Linked DNA regions of Kluyveromyces lactis. The main gene of each other region encodes a partner of the protein of the gene in region 2 in a complex. Links are inferred from orthologs where the notes say so. Each region holds a gene or a part of one and is shown on either strand. Other genes may lie near its edges.

What was found. The genes of interacting proteins can lie anywhere in the genome.
Region 1: RML2 (region 2) and MRPL32 share a complex: the UniProt entries of both Saccharomyces cerevisiae proteins name them as parts of the mitochondrial large ribosomal subunit. The link is inferred for Kluyveromyces lactis from reciprocal best matches to the Saccharomyces cerevisiae genes RML2 and MRPL32.
Region 3: RML2 (region 2) and RTC6 share a complex: the UniProt entries of both Saccharomyces cerevisiae proteins name them as parts of the mitochondrial large ribosomal subunit. The link is inferred for Kluyveromyces lactis from reciprocal best matches to the Saccharomyces cerevisiae genes RML2 and RTC6.

Annotation. Positions count from the first base shown.
Region 1 is NC_006042.1:1,182,391-1,185,072, forward strand, and holds MRPL32 (mitochondrial 54S ribosomal protein bL32m), read right to left. Parts: upstream 1,298-2,682; coding exon 740-1,297; downstream 1-739. Other genes in the region: KLLA0_F12804g (uncharacterized protein), read right to left, coding at 1-261; septin CDC10, read left to right, coding at 1,841-2,682. UniProt on the Saccharomyces cerevisiae protein: Component of the mitochondrial ribosome (mitoribosome), a dedicated translation machinery responsible for the synthesis of mitochondrial genome-encoded proteins, including at least some of the essential transmembrane subunits of the mitochondrial respiratory chain.
Region 2 is NC_006037.1:182,820-186,317, forward strand, and holds RML2 (mitochondrial 54S ribosomal protein uL2m), read right to left. Parts: upstream 2,007-3,498; coding exon 801-2,006; downstream 1-800. Other genes in the region: KLLA0_A02013g (putative aminopeptidase), read left to right, coding at 1-628; ERD1 (Erd1p), read left to right, coding at 3,401-3,498. UniProt on the Saccharomyces cerevisiae protein: Component of the mitochondrial ribosome (mitoribosome), a dedicated translation machinery responsible for the synthesis of mitochondrial genome-encoded proteins, including at least some of the essential transmembrane subunits of the mitochondrial respiratory chain.
Region 3 is NC_006041.1:1,683,186-1,685,520, forward strand, and holds RTC6 (mitochondrial 54S ribosomal protein bL36m), read right to left. Parts: upstream 983-2,335; coding exon 740-982; downstream 1-739. Other genes in the region: tRNA (34-2'-O)-methyltransferase regulator RTT10, read left to right, coding at 1-562; kinetochore-microtubule binding complex subunit SPC105, read left to right, coding at 1,566-2,335. UniProt on the Saccharomyces cerevisiae protein: Component of the mitochondrial ribosome (mitoribosome), a dedicated translation machinery responsible for the synthesis of mitochondrial genome-encoded proteins, including at least some of the essential transmembrane subunits of the mitochondrial respiratory chain.

The DNA of each region.
Region 1 (2,682 bases), on a different chromosome or scaffold from region 2:
CCTAGAACTACATCCGAGGTTCTGCAAGTCATTTGGATCATCGATATATGCGAGTATTTCGATTATAAGATCTTCTGGTAGCACTGACAGAGAGCCTAACAGCTTTTTCCTAAGCTTTCTAGTTTCCTGAGGATCTGCACCCTCTAATAAAGAATTCCCGCTAGGTTTTACCCCTAACGGATGCGTTGGGATGCTGGTAAATACAGGAATCCTGTAATTTGGCACCTTTTTCACTTTCTTGAACTGTCGTGTCGTTGTCATACTGTATGGAAAATTGTCAGCCTTATTGTCAATTTAAAGTGAAACAAAACAAAACAACCAATATCAGACCAAACTGTTAAACTGATGCCAGTTTTCAGGTCCTGCTTAATCCTGTATCGTGTATTCGCACCTCATCTCATCTCATCGCTACTTCAAATCTTTTCACTCATGATTTTTTTCTTTTCAATCTGATCTTTTCTCGACTGATTTTCACGCCTTTAGGCCTGGCATCAAGCCTGCTCTAGGAAAATTTTTGTATGTGATTTGATTCTATGTAGAGTTGATTGTGATGAGATAATGAATCTAACTATTACTACAGGAGGTGAATGCTGACACTGAAATAACCTGCTAAAATCTGGGACGTGTATTCGACATATATATACAAGGTGATGGGGGGATTGAACTTGATAAAAGGTTGTTTTTTTTTAGTCATTTCCGCCGATGTGTTATTTTGTACTGGATTCAATGAGAAGAGGGTTTAATGTGATCCTTCTTTCTTCTCAGATCTCTCCACTGGCAGAGTTTTCATACGTCTCTCCAAATAAGCATCCTTGTCCTTCAGTTTCTTTGTGTATTCAGTTTCTTTTCTACCAGGATACAAGATACGCTTGTCCAATTCAGACAACTCTTGTTCTTGAATAGGCTCCACTTGTTCAACGTTAGTGTGAGCCTTCCAGATGTGACGGATTTCACCCACACAATGCATACATAGCGTATGTGCCTTCTTGTAATGCCCACATGAAGGGCATTTGTTCAAATGGTTGATCATTTTCAGCTGTTTGTCTCCAGGCGCATATAACTTTTGTCTCTTCTTCTGATGCGACACTTTCTTCTTGGGCACAGCTAGAAGGATCCCGTTATTCGTAAAGTAATCCGCTTGAGGTGAAGACTTTTCACGTTGGTTTCTTTCAAGCAATTCCAGCAGTTTCTGTGGCAATGCAGTACCAGCTGCTGGAGTGCTCCAACGAGGCAATATTGATGTCGCTGTTTCCAGCAACACTCTGCTAAAAGATTCCGTTACAGCTCCAAAAGACATCCTCTAATTATTTTCGCTGCTGGTATGATACTATGATGAAGAGGAGAAAGGATAAGTTCAATCGATAGGGACAGATACTAGTTTCTCTAGGTCGCTCGTCTAACTCTGTTTGAACTTCGTCAATTCAAATTGGTATTGACGAATTGGATTATAAGAAAGAATTTTCAACATTACCCTGATTTGGTGATGATCTGTGTCCCTTTTTCGATTTCGATGAAAAAGACGAAAAATCACAAAAACTAAAAATGGAACTCGAAACGAAATAAGTGTGTCAACAAAATATAAGTAAGGAATCAGATCTTGTATTCTTTAGAATAAGTAAGATTGTGATTACTTTTTTTTGACGTTTCTGTGGTTAATTGCTACTCATTGTTTGAATTTTTGTTATTGCGGTTAATTGTTTTTATAACTTAGAGGTTTTTCATTATTTTAACTTCCAAACACTAAAACACGTAAAGCTTTGATCATTTGGATTTGACTTATATACATCTCTACTACGCGAAAGGAATTATTAAAGGTAAAATACACGCATAAACAAAAACAATGGCATCTAGTACTGCTGCAGCTGGTATGACTTCTTCTTCTGATGGGTTGGCTTTGGTAAATCCATCTTCTTATGTTGGGTTTGATTCGATTACTTCACAGATTGAACATCGTTTGTTGAAGAGAGGATTTCAATTCAACGTTATGGTCGTTGGACATTCTGGTCTGGGTAAGAGTACTTTGATCAACACTTTGTTTGCATCTCACTTGGTTGATTCTTCTACTGGTAAGGACATCACTCAGGAACCAATTAGTAAGACCACCGAGATCAAGGTTTCAACACATTCTTTATTGGAAGACCGTGTACGTTTGAACGTGAACGTGATTGACACTCCAGGTTTTGGTGACCAGATAAATAACGACAAAGTTTGGGAACCTATTGTCAAGTACATCAAGGAGCAACACTCTCAATATTTACGTAAAGAGTTGACTGCTCAACGTGAAAGACACATTGTAGACACTCGAGTACATGCAGTGTTATATTTCATCCAACCTAACGGTAAGGGTCTAACAGAACTTGACGTTGCTGCTTTGAAGAGATTGACAGAAATCGCTAATGTTATCCCGGTGATCGCTAAAGCTGATACTTTGACGTTGAATGAGAGAGCTAACTTCAGAAACATCTTACAAGAAGAATTTAAAAAGTACAATTTCAGAATCTATCCATATGATTTAGACGATCTGACCGATGAAGAAGTGGAACTGAATAAAAGTATAAGATCTATTATTCCATTTGCCGTTGTAGGATCTGAAAAGGAGATTACAGTGAACGGTGAACTAGTAAGAGGAAGAAAAACTCGTTGGGGTGCCATCAATGTCGAAGACATCAACCAATGTGAGTT
Region 2 (3,498 bases):
CGTAATGGGATCGCATCAGGACTCTATGAACCTTTTATTGCCATCGATACTTGCTGCGCCAGGAGCTGATGACGATGGATCTGGTACCGTAACCAATCTAGAGGCATTGAGATTATACGTTGAACATCTCTCTACAACAGGTTACAGACCCAATAACACCATTGAGTTCCATTTCTATAGTGCAGAAGAAGGTGGTTTACTAGGTTCTTTGGATGTCTTCACCAGGTATGCAGAGGAGAACAAAAAAGTCGTCGCAATGTTGCAACAAGATATGACCGGATATGTTGAAGATCCAGAAAATGAGCATGTTGGTGTCATTACTGATTATACCACGCCAGGTCTAACTGAATTTATTAAGTTGATTATAAGAAGATTCTTGGATATTCCTTACGTGGAAACGGAATGTGGATATGCATGTAGTGATCACGGAAGTGCAACGAAGAATGGATTCCCCGCTTCCTTTGTCATTGAAAGTGAGTTCAACAAATCTAACAAATACATTCACAGTACGATGGACACTTTAGACAGACTTTCATTTGATCACATGGCCCAGCATGTAAGGTTAGTCGTTGGTTCCTTATTCGAACTTGGGAACTGGGAATTTAAGCTGGAAGAAGAGACCAAATGATGCTCTGGATGTAGTAATCTAAACTTTGTTTAAAATAGAGTTGGTAACTGAACAGATGTTATGTTATTTCTTTAAATTAACTAGTTCTACGATATTTACAGGATGGAAGTCATTGAAATAAGTTTACAAAAACTGATGATATTTAAGATAGGATCAGTTGTGGGGAAGCTTATCATTGTCTAGCCTTTCTACCAGCCTTACCTCTTGGTCTATCTTTAACCTTCATTTTGTTTTGATGCTTACCCCTTCTTGTCTTGTAACCCTTGGCCAATTGACCCCATGGAGACATGGACAACTTTTTGGACTTAGATTTACCTCTACCACCACCGTGAGGATGGTCACATTTGTTCATTGCCACACCTCTGACAGTTGGTCTTATACCCAACCATCTAGATCTACCAGCTTTACCTAGAGAACGGTTTTGATGGTCAATATTTGAGACAACACCCATGGTAGCTGCAGCTTCCAATGATACGTAACGGTGCTCACCACTTTGTAGACGGACAACAGCTTTATTCTTTTCTGGGATCTTGGATAAGATACGTGCGTAAGAACCAGCAGCACGACAGAACTTACCTGGACCTGTAGGAGTGATACCAATATTATGAACGATGGATCCGATTGGGATCATAGAGATTGGTAGACAGTTACCTCTTTGAGCTGTTCTAACAGATAAGATGGCAGGATCGATCTTCCCACCCATTTCTTTCAAAAATGATGGTGGAATACCTTTTCTGTATGATTCGATGGTATCCCCAGCTCTTAGCCCATCACATGCTAAAATGTAGCTTAGGGCACCAGTATCGTTATGTTTTATCAATGCAATATGTGCACTTCTACCAGGATCGTATTCGATTCTTTCCACAGTTTGCATACCAGATTCGAAACGACTGAAATCGACTGTTCTCAATCTTCTTTTATGACCACCACCACGATGTCTCACCGTGATCTTACCACTATGGTTTCTACCACCATTTCCTCTCTTGGCAAGAGTCAAAGATTTAACAGGTCTTCCCTTATGCAAATATGGATAAATTGGCGCACGGTACCATCTCAAACCTGGAGAAACCGGTTTCAATTTCTTCATTTGTGTAACTTCCTTAGCCAACTTTCTTCTTCTTCTTAACAATTCGTCTTGCTTCTCTAGTGCTACCACATCTGTGTTATTAGGAACGATTTTCAACATATGGACATTGACATCGTCAACTGAAGATTGTTCTTCATTCCCGGTTGGAGTGATGCTGGCCATAGATCTGATTCCACCAAGTGAAGTATTGTTCAAAGACATTATCATCGAAACATTCCACGGAACTTGAACTCTTGAGGAGACGCCGCTGGCAAGCGGCGTCAGGCATCTCAAGTTGAATTGCTTGAACATGATATTATATCCAGAGCACCTAACGAGATTCTTAGGGTAAACCGTCTAATACCAATATCTCCGCTTTGCTACTGCCCTTCACAGAAATAATAAAATAACTCTGATCTTAATAAGATTTGTTATAGATATATCCACCCTTATATATATCAATATCCATAGTTTAAAATGTTTAAGTCATTGCAATTACATTGTTCATTTTTGTTAATATCAAAATCTTTCAAGCGATCTCTAATTTCAAACAGCTTCAATACCATCAGAGGAATATCGTCAAATGGAATTTTTTGCAAGAAGTATCACTATGAACGTATTCTGAATTTACCCGGATTATATAATATTTGGTCACGTGATTCAGGAAATCTTTGTGTACTTATTTTGTGCCCTAATGGCAGACCAGTCTCTCATGGTTAGATTGACTATTCTTTCTGTTTTATGGTTTTTAGTTTAAATAACTGGAAAAGTGAAAAATTTTGAGGTAAGTTTCTATCTCATCACGAATACTTTATTATCCGTTACAAAGCTTTTAATTAGAGTTAGAGACATAACCAACAAGGATTCGATTTGTAGTGTATCAGGAACAGGAGTTCCTGTTCGCAACGTATTCTGTCTTTTTTACTGAACTCAAACGGAAATCAAATTCCTCTTCATGTCGGGAAATGAACAAGTAAAAGGAACGACGAAGATAATGACTGTCTGTATGGAAATACCATCATTTGGATTGTTTTTTTTTTGAGTATATCGATTATGATGACCGCTGTCGCCCCAAACGGATTTCGAAAATATGAACGATTCGACTAGCATTAGCCAAACACTGAAAATTCTGATCAATCGATTACTTTATTAAAATAAACTGTCCAGGCAATACAGTACAAGTTATATCTTCTTGTTTGTTTGACTTTCTTCATTTCCGGATATATTCGGGTAGTCGAAGTGTACGTTAGATGTGTCAGTGGATTACTCGGCATTCTCTATCTTAAATATATAGACCTATTAATGATGAACTAAAAGTTTCCATGCTAATCATGAATAAAATTCAAAATTTTAAAGGATTAGAAACACGCTTTTTGTTATCTCTAACAGTCCTGAATACGTTTATATATAGCATTAGCTGTTCCATTCTTGTACTTGTAACTTGTGCTTTTCGGTAGTGTGTGTTTTTTTATTTTTGGTGCCGGTATCTGAATTGTAAACACGTCTTGAAAAGATGTCAATAGAAATAAAAGTGTTATCTTAGGACTAAAAACGTAGGATCCTAGATTATACAGAGCTCTGAGACAGTGAACCACAAATCTAAACCGTTAGCGATACACACAGGGCCTTTCTGAAAGGGATTTCTTCTGCTTCTATTCCTCCTTTTTTTGTTACATTTTTTTGATTCCTTATTTATACGTGCATTCATGGACGCCGAATCTGTTGAACCCTTTCTGGTTTACCTACCGATCCCACAGAGAGTTGTTGTCCTTGTGTTATTAGGGTTATGGCTATGGACATGGTT
Region 3 (2,335 bases), on a different chromosome or scaffold from region 2:
ACAGAATTGCTTGAAACTTCTGATTGCACCAACAGATGGTCATTTAATTACATGGGACATCACTAATTCCGTTCCGTTCGAGATAAGGAATAATGAGCTTTTTGACAGGGGCCTCAAATTGGAAACAAAACAATTACAAAACTGGTCCGAAAAAATCCTGGTACACACAGCAGGTATCAAATCACTCGACGTGAAGCTTGACAAGTCTTCGGATTCATTCAAAGTATATTCTGGGGGTGATGACAATGCTGTAGCCATCACTAAATTTACGAACAATGACAACTACACGATGAAAGCCGAAATACTAGATCACGATTCGTATGCTGCTTCATCAACAGTAACATCAGTGAATCTGTTAGATAATGACACAAAATTATTGGCTACATCAGTGGACCAGGTCATAAGAATTAGGGACATTACGAATGACAAACTGAAAATAACGGAGAGCAAATATACCACAGTAGCAGATACCGGTTCCAGTGATATAGTTACGTTACCAAACGTCCAGAAAACACTTATATTAATAGGAGGATTAGGACTTTCCTGTTGGCGAGATGAATAATATCTAACCATCTAAACTTCAGAATTTTATATATTTAAAACCAGTTTATTAGTATAGAATGGAAATTATTTATAGAAAGAAGGCTGCATTTTTCCACATTCAAGAAAAGAACACATCCTCCATTATGACTTATCTATATACATGAAAGATTGGGACGAATGGGAGGGCGATTGTAATTCAACCTTGACGTTGTTTATGCTTCTTATTGGACTTACAGTAAACGTACACTCTGCCCTTACGTCTAACCATGTAACAATCGTTACAGAACTTCTTGATGGAAGTTCTTACCTTAAAACCTCTGGTCAAAGGAGGGTTCATAAGACCCATCATTGGCATAGATAGCATATTGATACTTTTCACAGCTGGCCTTGTCAGTCTTGTCAACGAGTTCAACATCGTACTTCCGAAAAGTGTGCTCATTATGTATGTATTTCCCTCTCTTTATATTATATCGGGCTCCAGAGTTATACCTGTGAAGAGTTTTCAGTTTTTGATATCACCCACGGTCTTGAAACGTACTAATGGAGTCCACAATCGTCAATAAGGCATCACACCGACTGAACATGCCCTCTATAGCTGATGATCTACCATGAAAAGGCCTTCGATAATTTTTCAAAATAGTTTCAATGGAGATTAAGATATTTACCCGGACTATAGCACGTGATGGTTATGACCTGAGATCTTGAACATCCTCATCTAGTGAACATCTTTGGGCAAATCTGAAGACCGTTTCGAATCACTAACAAATAAATAATTGATGAAGTACACCCATCCTTTCTAAGAGACTCTTCAAGGCAGTTGTTTTATCCTTTTTCTCGGTTCTCACTGTATGTGCAGCAGCGCTCTGAATCGAAAACATTGAACTTCGAAAACGTAAACAATCGAATTTTAGATCAATATATTGACACACAAATACCGAATCATCATAAACTTAAGGACTAATATTTAGGTTAAGTTTCCATTTATTATCATATTTCACCCTGTGTTGATAGTCTCGCTTCATATGACAGATCCAAAACGATTGTCTTTGCTTCCGAGAAGTATCCTTAAGCAAAAATTTAAGGATGATGATACAACTAACACCAGTCATAATTTGACTATGTCCCAGATACAGTTTCCTACTGAGGGAATTACCAAAGAAGATATACTGGACGGAAACAATACGACATCCCGGATCAGTGCTGCGATTTCGAAGGGAAATCGCCGTGTGTCCTTTGCACCAGATGTGACTTTGCACAAGTTCGAATTCATACCACAATCGATTCAAAATGTAAGGGAACCTCGAAGGAAATCCGCTTTAAAATTGGAAGTGGCAGTAGCTGAAGCCTCTATGGCCGATACCAAAAATGATAACGACAATTCTGGAGAAACAATGGAATTTACTAGTCCGATAGGTTCAATATTCCAAAAATTGGAGTCTCCAAGCGAACCGAAAAATGATGGGTACCAACCTGTGTTCGACAAAGAGGTTTCAATGGATATAACACAGTTATTTGCAAAACATAGCGCTAAACCAGACGATAATGTGGTACCGCAAGAAACCTCTACTGCTGCGGAAGAAGAAGAAGAGAATGGTAACGAAGACCAAGTTTTGGAGGAAACAATGGACCTTACAGAACCGCAGAAACGCCGCTTTAACGAAGAAGAGTCTATGGAAATAACTGACCAAATACGGATGGATGCAGAAAAACCTACGCTAGATGCAGATTCAGAATCTGCTTTCAAATTACCTAAGATACCAGCAATTACAGAGGAAACAATGGAATTTACAAA